Linked DNA regions of Astyanax mexicanus. The protein of the gene in region 2 purifies or fractionates together with the protein of the main gene of each other region. This does not show direct contact. Links are inferred from orthologs where the notes say so. Each region holds a gene or a part of one and is shown on either strand. Other genes may lie near its edges.

The links.
Region 1: the proteins of vps45 (region 2) and rabenosyn-5 purify together in Homo sapiens (affinity purification with mass spectrometry; 4 studies listed by BioGRID and IntAct, counting the BioPlex papers as one, with this or other methods). This does not show direct contact. The link is inferred for Astyanax mexicanus from reciprocal best matches to the Homo sapiens genes VPS45 and RBSN.

What each region holds. Positions count from the first base shown.
Region 1 is NC_064419.1:14,639,700-14,655,447, forward strand, and holds the start of rabenosyn-5, read right to left. Parts: upstream 8,213-15,748; 5' UTR 8,063-8,212; intron 7,179-8,062; 5' UTR 7,066-7,178; coding exon 6,903-7,065; intron 5,560-6,902; coding exon 5,428-5,559; intron 5,115-5,427; coding exon 5,014-5,114; intron 4,464-5,013; coding exon 4,418-4,463; intron 4,329-4,417; coding exon 4,167-4,328; intron 3,692-4,166; coding exon 3,423-3,691; intron 2,878-3,422; coding exon 2,807-2,877; intron 1-2,806. UniProt on the Homo sapiens protein: Rab4/Rab5 effector protein acting in early endocytic membrane fusion and membrane trafficking of recycling endosomes. Required for endosome fusion either homotypically or with clathrin coated vesicles.
Region 2 is NC_064410.1:49,925,338-49,941,865, forward strand, and holds the start of vps45 (vacuolar protein sorting-associated protein 45), read right to left. Parts: upstream 7,344-16,528; 5' UTR 7,093-7,343; coding exon 7,000-7,092; intron 5,418-6,999; coding exon 5,283-5,417; intron 4,808-5,282; coding exon 4,747-4,807; intron 4,641-4,746; coding exon 4,561-4,640; intron 4,427-4,560; coding exon 4,358-4,426; intron 4,171-4,357; coding exon 4,033-4,170; intron 3,302-4,032; coding exon 3,191-3,301; intron 2,825-3,190; coding exon 2,690-2,824; intron 2,050-2,689; coding exon 1,936-2,049; intron 1-1,935. Other genes in the region: zgc:153441 (retinol-DH_like_SDR_c domain-containing protein), read right to left, coding at 8,826-8,931, 9,236-9,440, 9,574-9,693, 9,891-10,052, 10,544-10,735, 10,831-10,965, 12,052-12,145; pogza (pogo transposable element with ZNF domain), read left to right, coding at 16,234-16,315, 16,427-16,528. UniProt on the Homo sapiens protein: May play a role in vesicle-mediated protein trafficking from the Golgi stack through the trans-Golgi network.

The DNA.
Region 1 (15,748 bases), on a different chromosome or scaffold from region 2:
AAAACCATTTGGAATACGTTAGGAATTGCCTAGCAACAAGTTAGCAACAGCTTAGCAACCACCTGGAATATGTTCGCAACTGCCTAGCAACCAATTAGCAAGCACTAAGCAACGATGTGGACTACATTAGCAACTGCCTAGCAACTACCTAGCAACCACTTAGCAACACTTTACTTTATAAGATAATTATAAGCTTTTCACCATGTTAGCCAAAACTTTTTGGACTTCAACATTTAGCCGAAAGTCAACAGCATAGCAACCACTCTTCACACGCTTTAGACAGAAATATCTTAGCAACCATTTTAACTATTCAACGTTATTTAACTATTTAACGTACTTTTCCAAGCCAACTTAAAGTTCGTTATCGAACTTTCCTTTTCTAGTAATTAATATATTATTAATTATTATTATTACTACTACAATTATTACTTGTGGTATTTATGTCTAGTTTGGGTTTTATTTATTTATGATTGTTTTTGCAGTGTGGAAATGTATGCTGTAAATTAAAAAAAACAACAACAACTGATCATTCATTATTAAGTAAAATTTCTTGTTTTCTTTTGTGTATTTTTAATTACATTTTAGGAGAGCAAATATGTTTTATCCAATTACTTGTTTAATCTAATCGATTTTTTAGTAGAGTACTCAATTACTAAAATAATCGATAGCTGCAGCCCTACACTAAAAAGAAATCTTACATTCCTTACAGTGTCTCGCTTCCTTACTGTAATGTCTACACACACAATGCTATTGGCAGTGGAGCAAAAAGGGGGTATGAAGCGTATGCAACGCATAGGGGCGCTGCACTAGAGGGGCGCAAAATCGATGACGAAAAATTATTTCTAGACGGCATTTTCTGTAAGAGCTGTTTGTTCATGTATGATAATACACAGGGGCGTTGCCTGGGCTGGACTTACGGGGCTTTAGCGCTAAATACATTTCCAGTAGCCCCGAATGGTTTCGCTCAGCTCAGCTGTATTATTAGTGAGGAGACAGGTCGCTGTCCGCTGTGAATGAAAAATCTCTTGACACAAATCACAGAGCCAGTTCAAGGATAAAGTTCCGCCTTTCAGGAGAAACAGCCAATCAGCTTGCTGGTTTTGTAGGGAAGCCCCGCCCCAGCCCCCCCACGATCACTGGGGAACGATTTTTGAGAGTTCTTGAACCGGGTTTCAGCGCTGATGTCAAAACATATCTGGATATTTTCTAAAAGAAAGGTAACTGAACTAACCATGTAAACTGTGATGAGATTGTTTCTGATAGCTGGTTAAAAAGACTCGTCTCTGAATCAAAACACACAGATCAAGGTTTGAGGAAGAAAAAAAACTACACGTTATATTTTTAACTTGCCCTGATGTAAGTTACCTGATCAGCCAATAACTATTTTATTTTCAGGAGAATACTGTATTTTTATTAATTTAGGATTGCAGGATAACTGTAAGCTATAATTAACGAAAATGTATTTAGTTAACCAGTTAGCTAGAAGCTGGATGTTGTGGATAGCCAGAATTTAGTACTATACTTAGTTTAAATGAGTTTCCTAACCCTGGTCTCTGCTCTAAAAGTGTATGCTTTCCGCCGGATCAGCTGATAAACTAATATAATTAACTGGGCTGAGCCCCGGATTTTTACATACCCAGGCAACGACCCTGATAATACACATCAAAAAAACAGAAGCACAGCACTAATCAGGCGCCCATCCACTCCTTCCTAATCTACCCTCCTGTCACTTCCTGCCAAACACAGGCGCTTGAAAACGCGCCCCATAAAGAACACGCCTAGGCATTATTATTTTTTTTTTTGTCATGGCGCACCTGGATTTACAATATAATGGATCATAACAAGTAAGTAAGTAGATGGTGAATCATAAAACTAATAAGTTATAGAACAGGGGTTGCCAACGCTGTTTTTTTATTACATAACTGATATTCTTCATCTAGAAATATTTTTTTAATAGTTAGTAATAGTTATTTATGTAAGGAAAAGTGTGTTTAAAGTGCATATTTAAAAAAGCTAAGTACATAGAAAGCTACTTACACGTAATGCTGTAGCTTAAGCAGCGTATGTACCTTAACATGACGCAAGCCACCATACTAATAATGAGGCAGGCAAAAGGAAAGGAATGCTTATTAATATGAAATGGTATGATCCACTTAAGGGGTGCTTGAAATCATATCACAATATTCTTCCAGGCATAGATACGGCACTGTTTTTGTAGTTATTACCATTATATGTAAGACGTATACTTAAATGTTTTTACCCCTTTAGTCTTAATTGGGGGGGGGGGGGCTGACCCCTTGTAATTTGCACCCTGGTGGGGGTGCTTAATTCGGCACAACTCCGGCAAGCCCACTCAGCAGCGAGCACAATTCAACCGAACCGTGCCTAATGTGAGTAAAGGCTTAGTAACCATTTCTTTCAAATGCTAAAGTAAAAATTATTACACTTTTTGGTGTATATTAGACATTTTGAACTAACATTTAGTTTTTTGCCAACTGTTAGTTTTTTTTAATTGTGAAAGGGATACTTGAATAGAATTGAATTTGCAAAGTTGTTGAAGTTAAATAAGTAACATTTTTCCCTGAAGTTTAGTCACAGAGCCCAACCACAATGTATCAGAATGTTCACAACCCTATTGGAAACAAGAAAGCAAAATACTATTTCAACTAAACAGTTGACTTTCTGAGTTTCTAGCAGCTGTATATATAGAGAAGAGGCTACACTGACACTCAGGGAAATGGGCCAGTGCTAAACTTATAAACTAAATTTATGGTGCTGCTTACACACCAAAAGCAGGAAGACTTACTGGAGTGACTCGGCCATGCGGATGTACTCTGGAGCTTTCTCATCCACCTTGTCCATGCAGATCCTCAGTCTCTGCGAACAGGAAGACACAGGAGGACAAACTCAACATAAAGAAACAGCATAGCAATGGGAGGAAACGAATGGGAATTTTGCCAGTGTCAGTAAGAACAAAGAAAAATAAAAAACAATTAGTTTGAGGAAATCTAATCAACAAAGTGTTAAATCTTTTTCTAAATAATATCCAAAAAAACAACACCACATGAAAACTTTATAAAAAAAATGCGCAGAACAGAGCCAATTAAACAGACTGAACTGGATAGGTAATTGGGACTAGAATTGGGGCAAACATTGTTTAGTGTGACCCTGGATTAAAGCTCTTTGTGAGGATAAATGCAGAGAAGAGAAGCAGTCTGGTCGATATTTAAAGTAGATTTTGTCGTGCGCTAATCCAGGCGTAGCAATGTTAGAGTTGCTTTTCTCCCCTTACATGTCAGTGGAGCAGTACCATAAATAATGTGTTCTTTTAAGGTAAATGCGACACATGGCTGAAGAACAGCATAGACAGCTACAACACCTGTGCACACCATATCTGACCTCAGCTCTTATTCAGGCTGTACCTCGTAAAGTTTGACAATGTCAGGCACATGATCTTTCTCCTCCAGCTTGTGTTGGTGACGGAGCAAAGCTTCCATGCAGTGGCGGCAGCAGCGGATGCGGTCTTCATCTTTCTCCTCCAGCACGGAGCTGACTGAAGATAGGCTGCTGATAGAACCACGACGTGGAAGCTGCTGCTGTGGTGCTGCAGGACCTCCAGCACTTGGGGACCCCCCCTTCCCTGGACTGCCTGGCACAAACAGTGCCTCTCGGGTGCTGCTGGTTAGTTTACCTGACAACAATCATACAGTGTACTTTACATTATATATAAATATTTACGCACACAATCCTTATCTGTAATATTTGTATAAAAGCACTTACAAATTCAAATAAATACTTTATTACCTTTTTGTAATCTGGAAAGCTATTATCAACTGAATAGTATAGAGAGGTTTTAGAAAAACATATATGCTCAAATCCAGACAATTTCTTTGACAGGAAGGCATTGGATATTTCATCAAGAAAACGCTAAAGCACATACTGCAACCAACAGTATGGCTTCGCAGAAGAGAAGTCAAAACTCCAGCAATGGGTGCTCCTCATTTCACATGAGTTTATAGATTGTTATTAAGGAAGAGGAAACACTAAACCAGTGGTAGACATGGCCCTCTCACAACAGTATTAAAATAATATTTAAAATATTTTTTTAACATTTGGCTGAAACATCTGCAACTCTTGTCTATGAAAGTGTGCACAATGCAACTTACAGGCCAGCGGCAGCGGCACAAATTCCATACACTTCCTGCACATGATGGATCCACAGAGCCGGCAGTGATGGCGTCGGTTCCTGATGTTGAACTTGCCACCACAGTCGGGGCAGAACGGTACATCGTGATCACTCACCCACGGCACCACTGACTTCTCCAAAGCTGAAATTAAAATAACAATAATAAACCATGTTTTGGTCACAACACTGTAATGACCACAGTAACAATATCTTTTCATCTCTCTGCCCCACCTCTTATCTTCCCAGCGTCCATGTTGGTTCTGTCGAAGGAAGTAAGCTAGAAAAAACAAAGACATGATTTGGTTATTATTTACGTTGCTCGAGTTATAGAATTCAGTTCATATCAATTCATATCTAAGGCTATGATGATCTGTTTCTGTGTTAACCCTTAACCCTAATGCATGTGTGCATTAATTTATACAGCTACATACTGATGTTTGGATTGGTTTGTTGCTCAAAAAGTTGTCTTCCTTTTATGTTTCTTTATTCAACGGGTTTGTGGCTAGTAAGTTTACAGCTGAAATGGTTTTAAAGATGCTGAATGAAAAGGGAGTTACAGGAATGGACTCAATTATACAAAATATAAAATGTTATTAGAATGTTAAAAATGTTTAAAAAAAGGAATTCCAAACATGAACACACTATAAATAGTTATTATTCTTGACCAAAATGACAAAAAGTGACATAAAAATATTGATTCTCACACTTATGAAAAGGTGTAATAACCAGTCACATGACCAAACACACTAAAGTTAAATTGTTAACCAAACCACTGACACAACTGTGCCATAATTAAATATACATAGTATTTTTTACAAAATATTTACCTTCTCCAACCTAATGATTCGCTTGTTGACCTCGATGACATAATGATCAATCCTGGCAGCTCTGTGTTTCTTAAAAAGATCCAGGTGACTCCGAGTGGCTCCTAATCAAACAGAATGAACTAACTTAGACTTGACTAGCCAACGTATAAAAAAAATGTAAGGTGCGTTTTATTAGGAAAAGGAAAAGACAATACTGAAATAATAAATGTCAACTGATGACTATGCAATAGTTTCAGCTACAAATAAGTTTGTGACATTGTGAATTCATTCATTCAGACTTTTTTTTTTATTTTTTCCTTTTCTGATATTATCAGTCCAACGTTTCTATCGGTATCAGAGAAATACAAAGTTCTCCAATTACAATGTGCCAGGTATATTGTGCTCTGTCATTAGCAGTAATTCCCTCAGTCTCACCCAGTTCCTGAGGCTCCCACATGTAGGGGTCCACTCCTCCACAGTAGAAAGACTCATAGCTGGTCTCAGTTCTCTCGTCTCCATCCCGTTTCAGAAGCTTGTCTTTGGCCTTCTTTGCCTTCTGCACTAAACCTGAGTGACAACATAGAAAATATATCAAAGTGATTCCTATAATAGAATAGTGCACCAGTTGTGCTGGTACTGTAATGACTGGTAGTGGAAGTAGTGGCAGTCAGAAGTATAAATGTACCGAAAACAAGCTTCAGACTTGTTTATTTTATCAAACGAGAACTCAGACCGCAGCCTCTGGCTTTACCACATTACAAAAAAAAAAAAAAATCACAACAAAAGTAAGAGTACCTCAGGGGACAACTTGGGAAGACCCACATTGGTTTAAATTGTAAGGTGTTTATCTTGTGAGTAAAGCCAGCTTGGTAACATGAATTATGGAATTTCGAGTGAGGTCGGCAGTACTGGTACTGGTAAGAATGAGAATATTTTTAAATAGGAGTGCCACCGGGGGCAGTGTGTTTGCACAGAACACAGCGTAATACCAACGTTTTTCCCGACAGTCCTCAGTTTCTACATAAAGTACACGCATAAAGCCAAATATGGAATTATTTAGCATACGAATCTGACAGTCAGATAAGCCATGAACATCAATACCCGTCTCTTAAGTATGTTTTATACCTGCAGACCAGACGAGAAAGACGAGAAACAGCTCCAAATAGCAAAGCATCTTCTACACAGAACTGCAGACTTGTTTTAATAATTCTGAGAATTCCTTTATTGAATATTATAGAAAACAATTACATCATGCTTATATCCTCTAAAATAACTCAGAGGAGTGGGAGTGTTTTTGTGTCTTTTTCAGTAGGCTAATAACTATGTTTTTTTTTGTTTTTTATTTTTTTTAAATAACCACTAATAGGGCTCTCTATACAATTGGACTGGCCCAAACTTCCTGTACCTTAACTTTAAGAAAAACTAAAAATAATAATAAAAATCAGGCACTCTCAGCTGTACTAGTAAATTTAATCATGGCTCATATATAATACGAATTTCTATTGCTAGGAATTGCGATTACCATAGATGTATAATGCCATAATATCATTAAAAGATTAATCAGTGAGTTCTACTTGCAAATACAAAGTTAACTATCAAAGATATTTCAAAGACCTATTATGTTCTTACTAAAGAGAAAAGGAAAAATAAATAAATAAAGATGTTAACAATGATGTTTATTCTTAATGTATTCATCTTTATGTTTTTTTTCCTTTTTTAATTATAAATTTAAAAAACAAAAAATAGCTTAATTTCTGACATTTTTGGATTTTGCTTTGAAATACGTAGAGATATTTAGAGGAGTATCTTATCAAATATCATAATTTTGGTATTGTAACACTAAAATCTGTTGGCCAAGTCAAGCATTGATTGAACCACTTAACCAAGGTAATGTATTAAAAAGCACTTACTCTTTATTTGTCCTCCAACATGGTGGCTGTCTCCAGAGTGCTCCTCCTCATAGTGGTCCTGCAGCTGATAGAAAGACTGCAGGTCCTTCAGACAAAGAGGGCAAAGGAAGCCCTCCTTTACCTCAGCTGAGCCTTCAAACGGAGGAGGGTAACTAGAGGCCATGGGTCAAGGGTTGAACAAATGTGCTGGGTGTACTATGGCACAATGGGTGATATCCAAAAGCTCATAGCATATCTGACTGAAGGCAGCACACACTCCAGACCTTCTCCATCACTCTGAAAAGAGAAATACAGTAAATATGTTAGTAATTAGGTATCATTAATAATTAGTTACAGCACACACAAAGGAGTCTATATTCATCTCTACTGTTGTTTAAGACCAGACCCTGCTAATCTCTTCTTTTGTCTTCTCTATCAATCAGTGTTAAACCTTACAGCTTCAGCATTCAGGATCAGTATTTACTCATAAAACATCTGAATATCATGTTTCTTTTTCTCCTGTTTACTTATTTATTTATAGAAACACAGAAAATGCAGAGATAGTCAAATAAGCAAGAGGTGCTTCTTTAAAAAAAATAAAAATCTAAAACATATTCTGGTTTGTTTAACACTTTTTTGTTTACTAAATAATTTCAGATGTTTAGATGACTTTGGTATTAATATACAATACAGAACATTTAAAAAACACAGAATTTAAGGTGTTTTCGAATTACTGGTACTCTAAGTCTTATTTAGAACGACAGACGGTGTGTACTAATATAGTTAGCTACGTTAGTTAGCTAACGATTAATACCCGATGAGATTTATAACGCGTTAACAAAAGCTTAAACGGTTAGCTTAGCTTGCTAACGTTAGCCAACTAACCTAGCTAGCTGCGTGCAGGTTAACTGGGCGTGTATGAACGCTGTATTATAATGATAATAAATGAGCTCGGACTGTTCCGACAGTCCTGAGAGATTGTAGGATAGTACATTATAGCGGTTAAACGTTTTAGAGACAGTAAAAAACCTTCAGTAACGGCACTGTGTCGGAGCTGATACTGTTATAACCCCCGTTACAGCATAACACAGCAGCAGAGCCGCGGCGGAAGGAGCCTCCGCACAATTTAAACACGCAATTACACCGGCGTACAGTCACTCAGAGCCGCGGCGGGGTCTTACCGCAGTCCGCTGCGGCTCCGGGGAATGGGAGAATGTGTGTTGGGGCGTGTAAGAGTGTGTGAAGTTGCAGGAGGTGAAACTCAGCTCGACAGCAGCAGCAGCGCAGCCTCATCACACGGTGGGTCATGTGACCCACGTTCAGTTGATACGGCAGCTCGGAAGGGACACTGCGATCAGGCAGAATTGCCAACAAAATGTGTTCTATGTTAATCTGCACTTCTTATAGGATAATGACTGCTAACTAAATACATGAATTGAAACAACATATTTAAGGCAATTTACTTGAAAAACATTAACAAAAACTTCAAAATCAATGTAATAATTAAACAGTGCATATACAGTAGCGTGAAGAAGTATTTTCCCCATCTAAAGATTTTGATACGGCAGCTCGGAAGGGACACTGCGATCAGGCAGAATTGCCAACAAAATGTGTTCTATGTTAATCTGCACTTCTTATAGGATAATGACTGCTAACTAAATACATGAATTGAAACAACATATTTAAGGCAATTTACTTGAAAAACATTAACAAAAACTTCAAAATCAATGTAATAATTAAACAGTGCATACAGTAGCGTGAAGAAGTATTTTCCCCATCTAAAGATTTCTTTTGTTTTTGCTTTTTTGTCATACTGAGATTTTTCCAATTATCAAACAAACGTTAATATCAGATTAAGATAAGAGTAAATATAAAAAATGATGAATGAATTGAATGATAATTGTATTTACTATAGGGAAAAAAATTCCAATCCAATCTAGCCCTGTGTGAAAAAGTATTTGCCCTCTTGACCTAATAACTTGATTGGTGGCAGCAACTGCAATCAAGCTTTACAAATAACTGGCAAGGAGTCTTTCACATCTCTGTGGAGGAAATTTTGTCCACTCTTCTTTTCAGAATTCAGACACACTGGAAGGTTTTCGAGCAAAAATTTTCTGTTTAAGGTCATACCACAGCATATCAACCAGACTTTGACTAGGCAACTCCAAACCCTTTAAGTCACGTAAAATAATCACAGCAGTCCAATTTCAAAACACCACAGAGAGTAGTCTGCCCCGAACATTGGCATAGGAACCGGGGGGATATTAGAGACAGGTGGATTTGTTTAACTTTGGAATTAGATAGATAGGTATTCAAGGTTTAAGGAAAAAATAAACTATGTAATGTTCAGCTTGCCCTGATGTACCTTATCAGCTAATCACTATTTCATTTTCAATTTGTGTTCATTCATTTAGGATTACAGGACTTACTGTATACTATAATGGGAAAAAAAGCTAGTTAGCTAGCTGGATGTTGTGGATGGCCAGAATTTAGTCCAGTACTTTATGTCTGTAGTTTAAAGCAGTTTCTTAATCCTGGTCTCTGCCCTAAAATTGTGTGTTTTCCATTATAGAAGTGCATAAAAATTTAAAGCACAGGATCCAATGCTAATATGTTTCTTTTTAAAGATTGAAGAAAATGTAACTATACAACAGAATTGACCTGCCAATGCATAATAATAATAATAATAATAATAATAATAATAATAATAATAATAATAATAATAATAACCAAATCTGTTGTTATTATTTTAACTATCGGGTGATAACTGGCATATTTTTATAGAATTATCTGAATTATCTTTATATATTATCTGGTGCTCACGACTTAGTATGTTGTGCTCACGACTTAGTAAGTGGTGCTCACGACTTAGTATGCGGTGCTCACGACTTAGTATGTGGTGCTCACGACTTAGTAAGTCGTGCTCGCGACTTAGTATGTGGTGCTCACGACTTAGTATGTGGTGCTCCAACTTAGTATGTGGTGCCCACGACTTAGTAAGTGGTGCTCACCACTTTCTATGTAAAAAGAAAAATACACCACGTCCCTTTAGGGGCTCCGTATAATTCAGACATTGCACGCATATTTTTTTTTCTAACAATAGTAAATGTAATGTGGAGTAACTTGTTTAGGTTGTAAAGTCACCTTTACTTGGATGTAACTAATAATAAACAGAAAAAAGGGATTACTTGTAATTAAAAGTAATTCCACAAATGTTGTTTTAGGACCCTATAGGGTGGCTCATACGCCCTTGGCCCCGACCACCCCTAGCCAGACACAAATTTAGGACGCTGAATCTATACAAAGTAGGAGAGACGGAGAACTTAGAATACAAGCGAGCGGAGAGAGGAGAAATACGGCAATTCTAAACTCTTCTTAAACCTGTATCTAGCGTTATATTGACTGTATGTTACATGAGAGGGACCTAAAGTTACATCATGCTGTATTTGACCGCCAGAGAGAGATCTACCCAGATAGCAAGTACTTTGGCCCAACATTGGCAAATGTCGCCTATGTCACACGTAGAAATTCGACGTCAGAGCAACGTTGGTCTGTGGTTGGCAGTATTTTTAGAACGTTGGATAAAGGTCGTTAAGCAGCGGAGGTCGGCGTCAAAATGCCAACGTTTTTCCAATGTCAGTCTCACTTTGGTCTTTAGTTTATTCCCAAACTGTCAAGTCTCACACACGAATATTGGATCATGGCTCCTCCATGGCTCGTGTTCACGGAAACAAACAAAAACCCACAGACAGACACACAGGGCACAGAACACACACACACCGCAGCTTGCCGTGTTCCAGTCATGCTCCAAAACAGGTGTGTGCATCCAAAACAACGTTGGCACTTTGACTCCCATCTTGTTTGTGTGTGTGTGTGTGTTGTGTACACGGAGCACTTCAGCTGTCACAGGTGAAGTCTAAGCCTTTAAACCAGGGGTGTCAAACTCATTTTAGCCAAGGGCCACATTGGCATATTGGCTGTCCTCTGAGGGCCAGATGTAACTTAGAAATGTAATAAAATGTAACCAAATGTAATATAAAATGAATGTAATTACTCCTTAATGTTAAATAACTCTCAATATATTATTTATTCAATCAAATATTACAGTTGCATGGAAAAAATGTTTGCTTGTTGCTCTATTAACATAAATCCTTTTAATTTGTCATGTTATGAAATCCAAAAACTCCATCAATCAAGAACCAAACTATTCAAGTGAATATAATGACATCAAGTTATATTAACTTTGATCAAAACGTTTGATATTGAAATAAGCCTTAATAAATATAAAATAAAAAATTGTGAGCTGTTAAGAACATGTGACAGATTTTTGAACATGTGACAACTTTTCTTTTTCTGGACATTATGGGATAAACATTTGTATGTCTCAATTACACCCGCGAAGTTACGCCTTCCCTCTGGCAGGGTTTCCACATCAATGACTACACTGCCGTGTAGTGGCAGTAAGCCGTAACTTCGCGGGTAACACAATCGACAAGCATTGTAGGAAATGTAGTTTTTGGTCAAAGCACGCTTCTGACCTATTTATTATAGACACTAACATTTTACAAGCTCTCGCGGGCCACATAAAAGGACGGGCCTTGTGTTTGACACATGTGCTTTAAACCATGCACAGGCTGTACATGAAACAAATGCTGAGATTCTGAAGCGCGTGGTCATTTACACGCAGGGAAAAACGACCGTTAATTCAGGCTTGTGTGTGTTCATATTTAAATTAGTTGAAGCTGAATTCACCTAAACGCAGTTGGATAAACTCAAATGTAGCGGGGTAAGGTTAAATTAAGATAATATATAATAATTTATAATATAATGCTGTTATTCAAAATATATTTTAAAGTATACAGTATATACAGTTGTGGCCGAAAATGTTGGAATATATATATATAGAGCCAAGCCAAGCAATAGTTACATCAAGTTAAATATGTAACATTCCTTCTACATAATCTCTTTCTGTTTATTTATTTATTTTTAAATCAAATTAACAGAAATACATTTTGTAGAAGGAAGGCAAAATATTTCAGCTTGATGTAATTATTACTTGGCTTTTAAACTACTTTGCACTAACTAGCAATAAATATGTATAATTTTAAAATGTAAATAATTCATTTAGAATAGTCTTCTTTTTCTCTTTCAGTGACTGACTCCATGTCCACTGGTTTTTTTTATATTAGTGTTAGTTATGTATCACATACATGTTTTTTCCACTTCAAAATACATTCAGTAAATTATTTTAGCAATCATTTATTGTTGTTTTTTTCACATTCTTGATGGTTATTTAATACGTAACATTCTTTTTACATTCAGTTATACATATTTGTGGGCTAATAGATTTTACTATATAAAGGTTTACAAAGCCCTTGTCTTGCTAATGTTAACTGGTCAGAAGCCAACATTAGGCCAACCTAGGCCAAACATCAAACATTGGTTGACGCCCAACATAATTACTGTTTACAAACACTGTCACTTTAAACCGCACTGAGACGTCAAATATTGGTTGACACCCAACGTCAAACCAACGTAAACAATGACGTTGAGCCAACTTACACTTGCTATCTGGGTAGTTTCACCCCTGTGCTCCACACAGACTCTGCACTGTACCAGAGAGAGATCTAGCTTCACCTCTGTGCTCCATGCGGTCTCCGCGCTGTACCGGACAGCCTGAGAGAGATCTAGCTTCACCCCCATGCTCCGTACGGTCTCTGCGCCGTACCGGACCACCTGAGAGAGATTTAGCTTCACCCCGCGTTATCACCCCCCCTGCTCCGTGCAGACTCTGCACTGTTTCGAACTGCCTGAGAGAGATCCGTGCGGACTCCGCGACATACCGGACCGCCTGAGAGAGATCTAGCTTCACCACTCATGCTCTGTGTGGACTCCGCACCGTACTGGACAGCCTGAGCCAGATCTAGCTTCACCCCCCGTGCTCCCTGCAGACTGTGTGCCGTGCTGGACCTGAGAGAGATCTACCTTCACCACCTGTGCTCCACGCTAACTTCATGCCATGTCAGACACTGTGCTGCAAATGGACTCCGCTCTGTAGCGGACTGCCCAAGAGAGATCTTGCTTTACCCCCGGGCTCCAGGCAGACTGCGCTCCGTAACGGACCGCCTGAAGATTCTATTTTCAACACCCTTGCTCTGCACGGACTCCATGCCGTACCGGTCCGCCTGAGAGAGATCCGTTTGGACTCCGCACTGTATCGGACTGCCTGAGAGACATGCGTCTGGACTCCTCACTGGACCGCCCGAGAGAGATCTAATTTCACCCCCCGTGCTTTGCATGACCACCTGAGACAGACCTAAGCACCGCCCAGGCTCTTCACCTTTGAGACAGCTACACCTTGCTAAGCTATCTAGGTCTCTCAGATACCCTCTGCCCTGTTATCCCAGCTGCACACAGACCATTAAAATGAATGTGAACACTCAATTTTTTTATTTATTTGGAACACCAGTTCCAAGTAAGCTAACCTGGTGGTTGCGATAAATTACCTGACTGATTTAGCTAGCCAGTTATCTTACCTGTTCAGGAGAAAAGTATCTAGCTCTGGGTTAGTCTTGTAGTCTTTCTGAGCTCTAAGTCTCCACCTTTCAAAGTTACTGTCTGCTCTGCTACTCTGCACTCTAGTCTGCTGCTCTGCTGGTGTGCTGCTGTTAGCTTGCTCTACTCTTGGCCCTGCTCCCTCCAGGTGGGTAGATGGCACTCTCTCCCCACATCACTCCTAGGGTGATGTCCACAGCACAGGGCGTCTGTGAGCTGATGTACTGGAACCGAGGCGCTGTGCTTTCATTTGAGCGCACTGGCTGCTCGGCAATGCTGCATCAGCAGCAGCTTGAAAAGAAGCGGTGGCTGACTTTACATGTATCGAAGGAAGCATGTGTTAGTCTTCACCCTTCTAGTGTGTTGGGGCATCACTAGTAATAGGGGGAGTCCTAATGTGTGGGTTGGGTAATTGGCCATGTAAATTGTGGAGAAAATGGGGAAAAATATATTACAATAACAATTACAAAATTACAATAAAATTATATAAAAAAAGGTACTCTGGTTATAGGAGACTCTATAGTCCGACACGTGAATTTAGCTACTGCTTTAGACCAGAGGCAACAGTTACTTGTTTACTGGGACCCAGAGCACCGGACATTAGTGGCAACCTTAGGCTGTTAGAGAATAGGAGATATTCGAGGGTAGTAATTCATGTAGGGGCCAATGGTATTCGCCTGCGGCAGTCTGAAGTACCTAAGGGTAATATTAAAGAGGTGATTAAACAGGCCCAGACGGTGTCCGAGGAGGTAATCTGCTCTGGCCCCATCCCAATGAGGCGTGGTGATGAAGCTTGCAGCAGGCTTTCTTCGCTGAACCACTGGATGTCCAAGTGGTGTGCAGAAAATCATGTGGGCTTTATAGATGGCTATACTTTGAAGACAAGCCTGGTCTTTTAGGTAGGGATGGTGTCCACCCCACGCAGGAGGGTGCTGCCTGACTTTCATGCAGCATAGCTCATAGTCTTTCAGCTAGTCGGCAAAGTAGTGTTAGTGCTGACAATCCAGAGCCAGGACCAGGCCACAGACAGAGAGGCTTAACCGACCGTCTGCGAGCTGCAAAGAGAAGTTACCAAGATACCAATGAATTCAGAATGTGTCTGTCCCCCGAGTCAAACAAAAATGTCAAAAAACTGAAACAGTCAATCCAAATAACTTAACTTATATTAAACAATCACATCCAGACTGTAGCACTAACACTTCAAACCTAAAGATTGGTTTACTTAATATTAGATCTCTAAATTCAAAAGCAGTTCTAGTGAATGAAATGATAACTGATCAGAAATTCGATGTTCTGTGTCTGACAGAAACCTGGATTAGGCCAAATGAATATGTAGCATTAAATGAAGCCACCCCTGCAGACTATAATTATTTACACAATCCGACCCTAGTGAAAAAAAAGTATATTAAAGTATACTAAACATCATTATGCTATAGTGCACTAAAGTGTACTTGTAGCTGCACGATTAGTCAGTATGCTTAAAGTGTGCTAAAATGGAACAACTATTTTTGTACTTATTATACTTTTATTGTATAAAAATTGTACAAAAGTTCTACTTAATTTGTTCTAAGTGTACTTAACTGTACTAAAATGGATCTCAAATATACTTAATTAACATTTAAATATACTACTTCATGTATGTAACCCCTTATTTTAAATATGCTTACAGTAAAATCATTATACATTTAATGAGTATTACAATAGTATCACTATTATATACCAAGTATATTAGCAATGCACTAAAAATTGATGTTAAATATATTTACATTAGCCTTCAAATATGCTTCTTGTTCCTGTCTTTTGTGAGTAGCACACTTCTAGTATACTTTGCTGAGTATAAAAATATATTTTAATATACTGTACTACAATTTTTATTTGACATTTAAAATGTATTTTAATTTAACTAAAGAAAGACTAGACAATGCAGACTATTGAGTTTTAAATGTAAATGTATTTTAAGTTAACTTTTTAATTATACATTAAATACGCAAATACATATGCAGAAGTGTTTTGAATCTATTAGCTTATAATGTCATTACAAATGTATCCATTTCAATCAGTATATTTTGTTACAGAAAATATATTTTAAGCTTACTTCATTGTTATATCATGAATACAAATACATAATATTTAAGTTTTCACTCACTGCTCATACTTATTGTAAAAAGAAACAAGAATAAACGTATGCTGATTAATGCAAACATTTAATTGTACATCTTTGCTTGACTATGCAGCACTCCATTACAAGTGACCACAGTCTTAGGAGAAATTAGCAAGTTATTACAGCAACAGCTCACATCAACACAAGTGAA
Region 2 (16,528 bases):
GCCGAATTCAGTGAATAAAACGGTTTTAAAACAGAGATAAAGATTGGATAAGTTTCATTTCTGGATGAAGTGATTTCCAGCGCTGTTTGGATATAACTGTGGATTACAGGAGACTGGATTGATGGATTCTCTTTAGTCTGGACGCGTTTTGAAGGTAGGACCTGTGGCTGAGCGCGGGTGTGTGTTCGGGGGGTGGCGGCAGTGACCGGAGGTTACCCCAGGACAAAAGGAGAGCCTTTTATTACTGGAAACATGCGCTCTGACGCAGCTTTAATTCATGAAACATACATCCTACAGTAAAAGCACAGTTCTGGAATCCGGAGAGCCAGACGGTTCGAATGGTTTATGACATGACCGCATTCGATGAAATATGGACGAACGATAAACGCAAATATGAGAGTTATGAATTATTAAAATCATAACCAAGGCATATTTCGCCCTAAATGTTTATTTTCTGAAAGGATATTCCGCTAAATAGGCTAAATAGCTCAAAAGCAGAGATTCTAAGCTTTAAATGGTATATTGGATGTCTATATTGAACCTGTAACTGTTCATAACTATTCAGAAACACAGCCAGTTATGAAATATTAAATATTTCTGGCCCGCCGGTGGGCCAGCGCGTGTTAAGAGGTTAACTTTACTTAGAAGTGGGCGCTAAAAAGAAACAGTTTGTGCTATTACCCCAGAACGGGTGGAAAGGAAAGTTTACCTGCACCTTGTTCTGGCCACGGAGCTACAGTGGAAACTAGCTACCCTGAGCCACAGCCGAGAGGCAGTACGGCAGTCAAAGGTAACCGCGCGCTAGCCCAAGAGGGGGATCTTTTTCTGGCGTGGGTGAGGAATTCTGCACAACAGAGCGCCGTGTACCACATAAAATCGAGGTCAGTAAACACAAGCAAAATCCATACACAAGGCGCACTGCATTATAAGGCGCAATGACGATTTTTGGGAAAAAATAAGTATTTTTAAGTGCGCCTTATAGCCCGAAAAATACGGTATATCAATGTTTGAACTTTTTTAACCAGACATCTCCCATGAAAATTAAACTTGTTTGTTCTCTGTCTGATAGTAGATAGTGTACTTTAACATAAACTGAGGTAATATCTAACTGTAGGTTCTGTGATGAATTTAGGATCTTATTTACACATATTGCGGTCTGCTACTGGCCTAAGCTTGCTGGGACAGCAAGGCCGGATTTTCTAACTGTTCTGAATTTTTTCAGATTCTATACCATCTACAGCCTTCTTTCTAAACGTCTCAAAGAGCTCTTTAGATCTGGCCAAAATCCTCTTCCCAAAAATCCTCCATAACCATGTTCTAATCATCTGTAGCTGATGTGGTGGCTTAAACTTTTTTCTAACTAAAATGCATTTTTATTTACATTCGCATATTTACATTTATCCAGGTTTTTTTTTTAATATATTTAACGTTTTTAAGCTTTTTTAGTTTTATGTCAAAATACTGTTGTAATGAAGATAATATTGTTGCTGTCCAGTGAGAAACATGTATCTCCAAAATGGTGACTTTAAATGGAATGTAAAGTGAACATATCTATTGGTCAGTTCATCCAAATTTATGGGGGTTCAACGACTGAGATACATGTTTTAACTGAACAGTTATGTTAAAATATATTAAAAAAAACGAAATAAAAGGATTTCATGTGGTGTCCAATTTTTTACAACTGTACACTGATTGGCCAAAATATTATGACCACTCACGGATGACATTTACAATCATGATTATCACGAAACACGTTGCACATGTCAAAATTTGGGATGCAGAACCACTATAAGGTTTACAAACCATTCATATTGTTTTTTTATTTCTACAGAAATTGAACTTCCTTAAACTAAATGAAGTTACTCCCTTAAATACATTATAAAAAACACTGTAGTTTTTAGATTTATTTATAAAACAAAATATCTTCATTCTTACCTTCATATCAGAAATAGACTCTAGTTTCTGTTGACCCTTCGGCTTCTTCTTCTGAAAGTCCTCCATTAAGTTCTTAATGTTTGTCCCAATCTCACCAAAGTTCAGATATAAGTTCTGTTTTAAAGAAAAGTAGTTCGCAAGTTTTCAAACACTTTAATGAAATCATACATAAGAAAATATGTATGCAATGCTGTAGGTTCTGTGATGAATTTAGGATCTTATTTACACATATTGCGGTCTGCTACTGGCCTAAGCTTGCTGGGACAGCAAGGCCGGATTTTCTAACTGTTCTGAAATTTTTCAGATTATATACCATCTACAGCCTTCTTTCTAAACGTCTCAAAGAGCTCTTTAGATCTGGCCAAAATCCTCTTCCCAAAAATCCTCCATAACCATGTTCTAATCATCTGTAGCTGATGTGGTGGATTAAACTTTTTTCTTACTAAAATGCATTTTTATTTACATTCGCATATTTACATTTATCCAGGTTTTTTTTTTTTATATATTTAACGTTTTTAAGCTTTTTAAGTTATATGTCAAAATACTGTTGTAATGAAGATAATATTGTTGCTGTCCAGTGAGAAACATGTATCTCCAAAATGGTGACTTTAAATGGAATGTAAAGTGAACATATCTATTGGTCAGTTATACTGGCACAGTAAATCTAGCTCAAAAATATTTCTTAAAGGTGCCACTGAGGTCATTCTAATAAACAGAGCTCTGAGCATCACTCTTACAGTCTAGTGTTACCCACATTGGCATAGAACTCATCGTTCTCTGCAGACAGCACCACTTCCCTCAGGTCTTTGCTGATGCCAGGAACTCGGGATAGGTCTATTCTGTTGTTGTTGAGACCCAGCAGCTCATGAACCATAGCCTGATATGTCCACTAGAGGGGGGAAAGCACACACATTCCAATTTGTTCCAATTCTAATGACATTCAGTGAATTTTTACATAACATAAAAATTGCCAGATCATAAAACACAACTTTAGAGGAGAGAACACCCCAGTGTAGGTCACATAAACATGAAATTGAGACCAAGTAATGCTTACGTTTCTCTTAGAAGGCCTGTCTATTAATAACTGCATTAAGTATCTATATATACAGTATAGAGCAGGAACACCGTTGCATAAGCTAGTGCCTCTACTGCCCTCATGTGATCACAGACAGCTGGGGCACAATGCAGGAGAAGGATGTTTAATATATTAGATGTTTTAGAAGTTTACGTTCAACAAAAAGAGGCAGGGACTCACCTGGTTGAGAAGGGGTGTGATGGCATCATCACTTCTGTCCAGAATCAGGAGTAGGGGAGGCACTTCTGTTTTTCTAAAGTCAAACAGCTCATATTCCTTGGTGATGATTTGCTATAGTAAAATAATAAATGCAACATTTTATAAGCAGTTTACAGGAATATTTAGAAAAAGGCATCCACATACCAAAGCATTTAAAAATGGATTATTGCCATAATCACATTATGAAGTCAGCAAGAGTAAACAGTAAAACGTTTCTATACTATTTTTTGTTATATACAGCTCTGGAAAAAAATAAGAGACCACTTCAGTTTCTGATTCAGTTTCTCTGATTTTACTATTTATAGGTTTATGTTTGAGTAAAATGAACATTGTTGTTTTATTCTGTAAACTATGAACAACGTTTCTGTCAAATTCAAATTAAAATATTGTCATTTAGAGCAGAAAATGAGAAATGGCTAAAATAAAAAAAAGATGCAGTGCTTTCAGACCTCAAATAAAGAAAACAAGTGCATATTCATAAAGTTTTAAGAGTGGAATAACTTTGGTTTTTAATTACCAGTCTTACACACTGCCTTTGGATAACTTTATGACACTACTGGTACAAAAAATCAAGCAGTTCAGCTTGGTTTGATGGCTTGTGATCATCCATCTTCCTCTTGATTATATTCTAGAGGTTTTCCATTAGGCTTCTCTCTAAGTCATTTAAAAACCTTCTATGCTTAGCCTTTAGAAGCCTTTGAGTTTCTTTTGCATTTTCAGTTCATGTTGCATCACTCTAAAAATACTTAAATGTTACAAGCAGTCTATATATACATATGAAAAACATTATTTATATTTCTTACTTTGACACTTTCAGCTAGTCTCTTAGCCATGTCAGAGGAGAGCTGGTAGCGGATCATGGGGCACTTCTTCAAGGCCAACAGTACTGAGGTTAAGCCCTGAGTGACACGTGGAAGAATAGTGGGTTCCCAGCTGCGACCCTAAAAGAAAACACACATACACACTACATGGGTCAAGTTGTGCTACACAGAGTGTCCATTTAAAGATCAAGTGTATTTAACTTCTACAAAAAACCCATGATTTTCCCCACAAACTGTGGAAGTTCATGACTTAAATGATCCAAAGCTAAAATATGTTTTTTTATCAGTGTGGTGCCTTGTCTCCTACCCTGACTACCCCTTGTAGGTTAAGGGAGAAGAGATGAGGGTTCACAGCGATAAAGTCTCCATAGAACTCCTGCAAGCAGAAAACAGAAACTGTATTAATGTAAAAACTGCATTCTAGATATCATTACTTATCTACTTACTGTATATACAAAGAAAAAAAAATCAGTAGGACATTGTTCTGCAGTGTTTAAATAGTTTACTGACCTGCACCTCTGCAACAACCTCCTGCTCATCAGCCTCAGCCAGAGCTTTCACTTCGCTCTTACTAATGACATTACTGAAATCTGGGGGAAGAGAAATACAGGCATCAATGTAAAAATAAACAACACTGTAAAATAAGGGCTTTGTACTTGTGTTAGCCTGTGAAAAGTGGAGTTTCTCATTACTCACAGATGAAGTAGACGCTGTACTTGGGCCGGTGCAACTCTTGAATCAGATTCTCTACATTTTCCTAAACAGAAAAGAATTTATCTCCATAAACGAAGCAGCAAACTGATAACATATAATCTATTATTATAATGCTCACATAGTTTATTTCCAGGCCTTTGCAAATAAACTAAATAATTTTATTAGTGTTTGTAAATAGCTAGCATAGCAAATAAACAAAAAAAAACAGGAATTGTGGCATGTGCTTTAGACAGTTTAGACATCTTATAAGCTCAACAACTGCTGGAACACTTCGTAGACAAATAGTTTTATTTCTTGTTTCTGATATTTTTACTTACTCAAAGAATGCTTTTAATTCTGTATTTTATATATATATATTTTTTTCAATTTACAGGTCCTCACTGGATAGCTTGTCTAACCTTGGCACTTGGCACAATTGCTTTTTATGTTTTTATACAGTAACTGTACCTTAGCATTGCAAAACAAAACAGATATGCACGGTTCTGACAATATACAGGGTATGGTGGTGTCAAGCATACCTTGGTCGGTCGCAGAAAGCAGATGGCCTTCAGATGTTTCATGTTCTCTCGGTTTTGGGAGTCGATCCGCTCGAACAGGTATACCTCTTTCTGAAGGATCTCAGACTGTGTGTAAACCATACTCACGATACTGGTCTATAGACATAAACACACACATTTACATTTGTAAAATATATAACATGCTTTAATACCATATTGGACAAAGAGTTTAGAGTCAAAATACAAAACACTTCAGTAAGTGTAAGATTTTTATTTTATTTAAAGGCACTTCAAACGGATTCTTCAGTAAAAATATTGCCATGACAGCGAACACATCTTGATGTTTGTCTTCCATGTGTCTTAAATAATGGCAGGTTACGTAGAGCCCCACTCAAGGGAGTCCGGTAACAGGTCAGGTTTTGATCATTCCCAGAGGAAAAACAAATCAAAAGGGAGATCTCCTTAATATCTCTGTAGTTTCTCCTACACAACAATAAGGTTTGATGAAAAGATTTTAGCATGAGACCCCGGCTGGTCAAGCATGTCTTCTGAGAAAAAGAGCCCAGTAATCTCACTTAAGCTTTAGTATAGATCTCAACGGCAGTGGTAACCCTACCACATTTGGTAGGGTTACTACAATCATTTACAAGATAGGAGTCTTAATACAAATGCAACTTTTTTTTTAATCCAAAGACAAAGAGCCTTCTCAGTTTTGATGCTGTGTACTAGATTTTACCTTCTACAATATTTGCTATAGTATGTACAATTGCACCCACACCTCAGGTGTTGTTTCTGCAATATGATTTTTTTTTATAATATGCAAAATTATTTCTGTTCAAGAAATAAAAGGCAAAACTGATTGGACAGATATTTGTGTTGAATTAATTAAATATGTTTGATCAGGGTTACAAAGCCTATACTCTTAACTTCTGAATTATTTTGCTCAGAGCCCCGAGACATTGAAGATGGGTTCGATACTCATGTTTGGTGGGTTGACAATAAATCTTCCCAGATCTAAAACCAGTTAGTTCCCAGTTTGACTTCTTATGTCTCATTTTTGTCTAATATTATTTCCTCTAAGCAATTTTTGAAGAAACATCTGTGTCTGAGTTGATTTAGAAATAAAACCTAAGTAAGAATCTCAAATAAATCTCCTGAGACACCAAAAATCAACAATTGAACAAAACAATTGTCCTGTGGGCTGCTATTAAGCAGGAATGGCTCAGCCCATTTTAGGCTTGGTATACCAGCATCAGTGTTTTTGCAGGAGTTAAAAGTAACATATCAAAGGATAGACAGTGATAAAAACATGACGACTCAATACAGGTTATGCTGTTGTGTTCTGGATCAGCTGCAAGGCCCTGATGGCACAAACACAGGAATACCAGCCAAGGAGAAGAGAGTCAGGTCTTACATGACAAGACACCGTTTACCAATCTACACTTATACATCTTATATCAGGAAAGGGACATGACAACCTGATAGATATTTGCAAGGCAATATACTGTTAAGACTCTCTGAAGTTCAGCACTATCTACTTATATCCAGTATTATGGGTGTACAGTATATGAGAAGATACGTTACTTGGTTAGCTAGTTAGCATGAACCCCTGTCTCTGCATCTGTCTATCTATCTATCTGTAAGCACAGCTGACAGTGAGAGGAATAATACATTACATTCCCCCTTCGTTACTCTGTGTTTCTGTAGGACTGAAGCTCGGGTATGAGTCTGTACTCACCGTCTCTTTATCCATTAGTAAAACCTTCATTCCTGGTCCGCTGCTTTCTATCATTTTGGAGACATACTGCTTCACAGCTAAAGTCACGTTCATCCTGACAGCAGTGTCCTTCACTCCGCCTGTTTATTTAACTATATAATTACTGATTATACTGTAGAATAACAGCTGAATATTAAACTGCGCTCACTTCTCTTCAGTATTAAATTAGCTCTACTGTTGACACCTAACAAAACCTCCGCTGAAGATCCCGGAGCAGTTCCGGTGTATGTGAACGGCGGTACGGCTGATCTGGGATCTGCTAGTTTTCCCCTCACAGCGCAGAGACAGCGAACTATGCAGCTCCACCACTGACCCCAAATCAGCCCCCACACACAGATATAGCCGCCCCACAGTGCACCGCGGCAACCCCGCACAGAGTGAGCACGCCGCCATCTTGGTAAGGTCTTCCATTCTAAACCAGTATTATTAACAGGCCAGGATTTTTGTTAATTTTCTGCCCGATATTACACCCCTTAATCTTGAAGATTTAATTTTAAACATTACTTAAATGGTCTTATGTTTGATAATAAACGTTACTAAAAATTGTAATTGTAATGTAAAATATGTAACAGTTAAATATGCAACTTTAAAATAAAATGAATAACAATCACTAAATTGGTCTCTCCTGAAATTAATTTTAAAATCAATATTTTCTTGAATACAAATCAAACATTTCATGTCCTGCACACCTTTAGCTTTGTTATGTGTGTCTAGTTTTTACATCTATTTTCAAACCTGCAGAATTTGGGTTGGTTCCTGTTACTGATCTGAAAGTATTAAGTGGAGTAGAGAGTGAACAGGCATTTAATGTAATATAATATAATTACTCTCTCACCCATTAGACTATTTCCTCACTTCCACACACATACTCTAGATATCTGCATATCTATATAGCATTATTTATATATATATATATATATATTCAGTTATATTTAATGTATATCCATGCAATGCAATATGTCTATATGTCTTAGGTGTAAGTTATTGTGTGTATTGTTATTGTGTGTAATACAGTAAAGTTAACTGTATATTTTTATTCAATTGTATTTTATTATTCTACTCTGTTGTCAATATTTGCATCTGCATACTAGTGGGAACCTGCACCCAAGTTTTTCACTCACAATAAAATAAAGCCATGATTTACTGAGTGTTCACTGTGTCCACACTACCCCACCTGTCAGATATGCTGAGAGCTGGAGCAAGTGTCTCAGCACTATTTTTGCGTACAAGTCTTATACATCCAAAATGGCAACTTAACAGGAAAATAAAAACATAAAAATCATGTTTATTTTTTATTCATCTTTGCCATAGTAATATCACTATTAATTACACAGTAATGACAACAGCTAACCAGAGCTAAAGTAATTTATACAAATTTTAGCCAAACTACTCGGTCACACGTAAAGATATAAGGATAGGCTGAAATCAGTTTTAACGGTGACAAAAAAAGATAATGTTCATCAGGTAGTGAAGTGAAAAAATGCAATTTTATCATGAAAAAGTGACAGTAATTTCAGATCTAAACAAATTAATTTAAAATGATTCTAAAGTTTAGGTACACAAGTGTTCTATATGATATGTTACAAATGACCATTTTCTTCATTACTTATTTTCCATTTCCAGTGTTTTATAAAATGTATGAAATCTGTTGTGACAAAAGCATGTAAAGATGTATTAATAAAGCAGGCACAGAGCAGACTGATTTTCAGCAGGAGCTCTGATCATTCTGCTGTAGGCATGTACTGGTGGTGGAAGATCACATCACTGGTTTGGGATGTTGCCTGGGATTAGTTCTCTTCTTTGTAGCCCACCAGCTTAGCGCTCACATCCCACAGCCTCATGGCAGCAAGGTCATCTTTAGCCTCCAGCGCTGGCTCCATCATCCGGCAGTCACTGCCATTACCAAAGATGCAAAGATCATTATCATAAAAATGCTTTTTAATTTTTTTTCTGTATCTTATAAACTAGGACTGAACTTATACATTTTATCATTACTTGCCTCTCTTTGTGCTAAAATTCAAGCAGTCCTGCTTTTTTTAATGGCTTGTGACCATCCACCAACCCTATTTAAACCTCTGTCAAGAGGAAGATGGATGGTCACAAGCCATCAAAAAAAGCTTAGCATTTTTAAGTGGTATCTTAATTTTTTCTGAAACTGTATAAATATATACTCACTTTTGGATTTTTATGAACTTACCTAAAGTAACAGCCATTGTATTTTTCCAGTCCCTCAGTGATGGTGCAGTAAATGGTAGTCTGAGCTCCCTGCTTCGGGGTCTTCATGAGGAGGATGGCAGGAAGGGACAGCAGGGTACTGACCACAGGATGGCGCATCTCCACATATCGGCCCAGCTCAGTGCGGATCACTCCAGGGTGCACGGAAAAGGCTGTTACTCCAGACCCTGCCCAGAAAATCAACAGGTACATATGAGCAAATAAATTATAAACTACCAAAAAGACCAAAAAAGAGTGGTGAACATGTTAAAGGCAAATTGATTTTTTTTCTGTACAGTTTGTAGGGAGAAGAATATAAACCTTTGATCCGCCGTGAGAGCTCTCTGGTGAACAGAACGTTGGCTAGTTTGCTCTGCCTGTAACTGATCAAGGAATTATATGGTGTTTTGTTGAAGTTAAGGTCATCAAAATGGATCTTTCCTGTAGAAAAAAAGATAGGAGGAAGTGTTTGACATAAAAAAATGTCTTGTTCATGTATGACATTAACAATATTTATAAGGGTGACATTAAAACAAATACAATCACTTGAAATATAGATATCTAATCTTCTGTTGGCATTTAATTAAAAATCGAACAAACAAATAAACTGGATTCTCAGTTTGAAAGGTCAGCCTCACCCCCTTTATGAGCAATGCTGGACACATTGATGATACGGCTAGGGGTCGAGTTCTTCAGCATGTCCAGGAGCAAAACAGTCAGAAGGAAATGGCCCAGATGATTGACAGCAAACTGAGTTTCATACCCATCCTCTGTGAGACTGTGGGGGCACATCATCACTCCTAATGTAGTAGAATAAGGGTCAATGTGTGGTCATTCAATTCAATGTAGTTCATAGTTTACTAGCATACAGTATATTTATTTAAGAACTTGTGTGTTCACATAGAATTGTTTTCACATTATGATTACTATATATTTATATATATATATATATCAAGTTAGATAGATAGATAGATAGATATGTTAACACTGTGTAGAGTAGCTGGAGATTATTTTCATAGCCATAGCCATGTACTTGTCAATAACAAGTCAGTAACAAATAGATATAGTATATATTTTTTGCATTTACAAAAAAACACAACAGGTAATCAAAACAATCTTACTTTCTATTGAAGTCAATGCAAAGTTATGTAAGTAATTTTTGATGATCTCTTTAATGGCTTTCTAAATGAATTGTTGACCCAATGTAAAAGAAGAACTGCCTGATGCACATGATGTAAAATTAAAAAAAAGGAAAAAAATAAAAATTCTTGCTTGACACCAATGGTCTCACCAGCGTTGTTGATGAGTATGTCCAGTCGGTCTTCTGTGGAAATATATTCATGTGCAAACTGACGGACTGAGAAGAAGGAAGCCAAATCTAAATGTCGGACCACCACGTTGCCATTTCCTGTGGAACGACGTATCTCTGCTGCAGCCTTCTCCGCTCTGGTGAGGTCTCGGCATGCCATCACAACTCGAGCTCCTGAAAACAAAACATGCCATCAGTTACATTACTAATTCTGTTTAATCTCTGTTACAGTTCCCAGCTGACTGGAAAAAATGTATGTGTGTTTTTACCTCTTTTAGCCAGGTCCCGGGCTGTCTCTTTTCCAATGCCAGTGTTGGCACCAGTGATGACCACTGTCCTCCCATCTAATCGCACATGGCTGTGGCATACTCCACCAGCAATCCACTTTCTCAGCAGAACCAAACCTGCATTTCATTTGGTGCACAGAACCATTAGAATTTGACACAAACTTGTCTTTATTTGGTTTAGCCTTTTGTGATGCCTAAATGTGATGCCTGGTGTTAATGATGTGCCACTTTTTCAATACAAAATAATGACATTATTGAGAATTCCGGGTAGCTATGTCATTACAATTGAATATTATATTTAAAAAAAACAACCGTCTATGTTGGTCAGCTGTGTTTCCTTGTTTCCCTGTGTGAATACAGCTTGGCAGAGCTCACAGGCAGCCATGAGTGGATTTGACAGACAGCACATGATGCAATGATCCCCCAGTTCTACTCTTACGATAAAATGTAATGTGTTTCCTCATTATCTAAAGATTTGTAGAAAGAGGTGAGACTGCTGTAAATGTAATTTCTAAATTTAATCTGTATCTCTAATACAATGAAAACAAATGCATTAAATAAAAACATGTATTTGTATACAATACAACTTGCAAATTCTGTTATAGTTCATAATTCACGTACACAGAAATCCTTTCATTTCCTGCAGTCGGACACATGGTGCCATGTGGAGCCGTAGACCTCTGTGCTACTAGCCTAACCAGATTACCTCCAATAATCTTCTCAAAATGGTGGGTTTAGTGTGTGACTGTGACTTGGTTAGGTTTACAAGTGTATCACACATTTCTGGTTCTGGGAGGAATTTGTTACATCCTTAAAGAAATGTTTCAGAATGAATTTTACACCGAACCAGGCCAGACTGGTGATCATATATAGAGTCAGAATTCACTTTTACATTTGGTACAAATAGAAATGTGTGCAGAGGACAATGCAAGGACTAAACACTCACTATTAACAGTAGCATTTCATCTTAAAATGCAAATTATCATTGAGTACAAAAATATAACCCATCTAGTCAAAACATAATCTGAATATGTTTACAGCATACATATAGTACTAATAGTTATAGTTATCAATAAATCAAGCATGTGATTATTTTCCATCCCTGAGTTATGTAACCTTCTCACTGCAAAACTTCAACACATTTTGAGGCATAATTAAACTAAAGCTGAACCATAGACTGAAAAAGAAACCAGTAGAACTCACTAATTGCTGTAGCTGCAGTAACTGCCCCGTATTTGGCCAAATGATTCGATTTCAGTTCTTCCCATAGCTGAGCAGCAGAGAGATAAAGATTCATGTCATCTGCTGAGAGGAACTGTCTGTGCTGTCCTCCACCAGAGCTCACTGCCTACCTCTAGCCTGCTCATTTAAAGTGACTTCTGCGCTGCAGTCTAGAACAGAGTGCAAGTAAGTCTAAGCCCCTCACACAGTGGCCCGGTTAAGGTTTTATAACAAGATTACACTAAGATCATGCTAGATGGTGTGGCTCATGGTGTAGCTTATGGTGTGGCAATTAGTGAAACAAAGAAACAGTGAAGCATAGCAAAGCAAGTGCTGATGAAAAGTGGTCTCAGCTGGCAAGAGACGTTGGCATAATGCATTATGTACAAATAACAAAAAAAAAACATGTTTGCTATACTGTTGCTAATCAGTTGATAAGTGGTTACAATTGTATCATAGATAAGTGCTATCATGTCTTAGGTGGTTGCCCAGGTATTGCCACATGCAAATGTGAAATTCGATTTCGACTATAGAAGGAATTCAACATGTCAATAATCCAGGATGTCATGATACTAATAATGCACTCCATATTCTAGTGCATCTCAAAACAATTGAATATCATTGAAAAGTTACTTACTCATATTATATAAATAGATCACACAGAGTGATCTATTTTAACTCTTTCAGACCCTGCGTCAATTAAATGGACATCATGTAGTTTCTTTTTTTAAATGTTTTGTTGCACAGAACACTTATAGAGACCTTTTGTTATCTGAATAAATCTAAACTAGCCAATAAAACAGTAGTTTAGCCTCGCCTACTGCACTTGAGAAATAACCACCAACTCAGACATAAAGGCAGGTCAGCACTACAGAATATATAAGGCAAAGTAATACAGGCTCATTATTACTAATTCTTTGTGATTTAAAATACTTTTTGTTATGTTTAGTAATTATTAATTTTATATTAGAATAGTAGTGTCTTATTTTGTGGGCAATGCAGACACTGTGAAGATGCCAGGATATGAATATTAATGAATATTGTATAAGATTGGTACTTTTGGCAGTGTGGGCAGTGTGCATAAAATCTCCATAAAAGTTGTCAGCAGAGGGAAGCATGGAGTGCTGTAAGATTTCCCGGGAAAACACTGCACTGACTTTGGACCAATAATACAGTGGATCAACACCACCAGATGACATGTCTCATATATGGCATTATATAATATTATTATTTTCTGAAACACTCATTTTGAGATTTTCACTGGCTTTAAGCCATTAACAAGAAAATAAATAAACTTATAACCTTTTCAGACTTGAATTATGTGCCAGTGATGAAAAATAAAAGAAGAATGCTGTTTTCTGTCTGTAACGCACTCCAAAAACAAATATTATTTGTATTTTTATGTTAATTTCAGTGTAATCATTTGTTTAACAAACATTCATTTGTTTATTTTTATTGTATACTTAGCTTTTATATAACGTTTTTATTTTATCAAATCATCCTTAAACCGTAAAAATAACTCATACCATGATTTATTTAATTTTGTTCAATGGAGTAGGCAGGAGTAAGTTGCTGTTTGATTAACTGATAAATGTCAATTCTGTTGGACAACAGACCTCAAAGAAGAAAACAGGTGTTGTCCGTTGCAATCGACGTAGAGCAGAGAGGCTGCAGGCTAGCTGCTAGCGTTAGCTCACTTACCTAACCTTACTAAGGTAACGTTAGTTAACCTAGCTAACTAACTAGCAGAATGGTTTAAACAGTGTCTGTGTTGTCTTTTGTTCAGATAATGGCGTTTTATTTTCAAAGCAAACTTGAGTTAACTTGCTCTACACAAAGTTTCAGTGGGTACAGACAGATATTTAAGAAAAGATTTTAGAAAAGATAGCGTAGGTTAAGTAGTTAGTTAGCTTAGCTAACCTAAGCTAGCTAGCTTGCTACAATTAGCCGCCCAAGCTTCTCTTTAGTAGCTAGTTAGTTAGCTTAGCTTAGCATTCCAGCATAAATAAGACGTATAACCCATATCAACACGTACGACATTAAAACCAAACGCTCATGGCGTACATATGAATACACACGCATCAAAGTTTAGTTCACATACAGTTTAACACTCTTTTTTTATTTTTATCTCATGTTTTATATCATTAATAAAACATGGGTAATTGTTAATAACATAGTTAGCTTAGCATTAGTGCTCAGTGTTGTTGAATGTTGGGATATTAAAGCACTTAAAACAGATTCTCAAAGACTTGGTTAGTCAAAACTAGCATGTCCTTTATTTAGTATCATTAATAAACTCTGCGTGTTTGGGTGTTGTGAATATTATATTTTAGATTTGATAATTAAATCAGTTTTGAAAAGGTTAGGAAACGAACGAAAAGCCCGCCCAATCCTAAAGCTCTTAGCCAATCAGCGTGTGAGAGGGAGGAGTGGAAGTGACGTTTTGAGGCGCTTAGCCTACCGCGGCGCGCAGCTCGCAGCCGGAGAAACAGCAGCGGGCTCCGATACTGCTCCTCTACCCGATGGCACAGAGCAGCAGGTACTGAAGTGTCTCCGCCACCGCGGTGCTTTACCGTGTCCGTGCACGCCTGAAAAATAGCATACAAGGTAAGGTGTGCATGCCCCGCCCGAGCTCAAAGAGAAATCGCAGCTCGTTGCTTTGGGAAGTTGTGTTGAAATCATGTAGCCTGAGAGGCTAGGCTAGCAGCTAGCCTGCTGTTTATCACAGCTGTAGGAGGGGCGAGGAAGCGCGAGTCCACATGCAGCTCGTAGCTCTGTTAGCATTTAGCCTCACATACACACAAACCAGCACACACTCAGCACACTGAGCACTTCTGCTGGAAACAAGCTACAGAATAGTTTGGTTGACATGCCACACACATCTAATACCACACTTTACACTTACACTTTTACATGTTATGATTACATTTTCATAGAAAACTTTGCTAAGCTAAGTTAGCTAAAGTTATCAAGCTCGAAAAATCGTATTTCCGCACTTTAATAAATTGTTTTCTCAATGTAGTAAATTGTTTCATTAGTTTATCAAAACTTTCCTCCAATGTAATTAATTAATTAATTAATTAAATTAGTTTTATTAGGTAGGGTAGAATTTCCCAAGCAAACGCACCGGTTAACTACGTTTTTCCAACATTGTTGTCACAACCTGACTTTTCTGACAAATAAATGTTACTTAGTTATTGTCTTCTAAATTCCAAAATAAAAGAAATGGTGTAAAACTTAAAAAAAAGGTTTCATACATTTTTTTTTTCCAAATTGTACACAATCAAAATTGCAGGAAAAATGATAAATTTAGACTTTTTAGATTTAGACTTTTTTCAGTTCAACAATTTACTTTTGTTGCAAGATGTAAAAATGTAAGAAAATGTCTTTTACATTTTTCCTACAATTCTGTTTGGGAAAGGCAGAAATTAAAATTAAACTTTACTTTACTAAATGAAAAAAGTGAAATGATTCAGTTTTACAGCTAATTTTCTATTTTTGAATTTAGCCTCAAGCAGTTAGACAATTGAACTGCTAAAAGTTACACTGACCAACTTAATTAGCCAGCCAAAATTATCAAGATCAAAAAATAGTTTTTTAAACTTTAATAAATTATTTCCCTCAGTTTTGTAACTAAATTTAATCAAAGCAATCAATAACATTACATTTTAATAATATAATAGTTTTGGGATTGTATTTTATAATAATTTTTATATTTAATAAGAGAAAAAAGAAAACAGCTTAACTTCCTATATGTTATACTGCAGCACAAAAAACTGACCTTGAAATCGTTTTTATGTCTACAGTATATATATTACTTTTTTTTAGTAAGAATTTGCTTGTATGTGTAATGTACCTGGAATTTTCAAATTCAGAATTACAGTGTAGATATCTCGCATTATAGTTACAATACAACTTGTAAAAATTGATGAATGTTTAATTAAACATTGTACTAGAAAAAAATAATGATTGCTAAGAGCCATGTTCCTTGTAAATGGATAGTAACATATGATTAGTCAAAATTACAATAAGGGAACATGAATCTGCTAAAATGTGTTAATGGCTTTACAATTATTCTTAAAAAAAATAGTCGACATGTGAAATTTAACTAAAACTGTTTGTCCTGCATACATTTCTTTGAAGGCTCCATAGGCTGTGTGGAAAATGGCCGAGACAGAATTATACATGCAGTGTGAGGAGGAGGAGTTTGTGGACTGGAGTGAAGAAGGCAAGCAACAACTTCTCGGTATGTTGTTATCGACCACTTAATGAATAATATTTAATATTTAGTTAAGTGTGTCTTTTGACACTTTATGTATGTTATGCTCTTTTTAAAAAGCTTTGTGTTTTCATTTAGCACAAAATGGACACGAAGATGTCTCACCAGAACCAGTTGCTTTTGCTGCGCAGTCCCCTGTGTCTGAGAACATCAAGCCAACAGATTTGACAGTTACTGCTG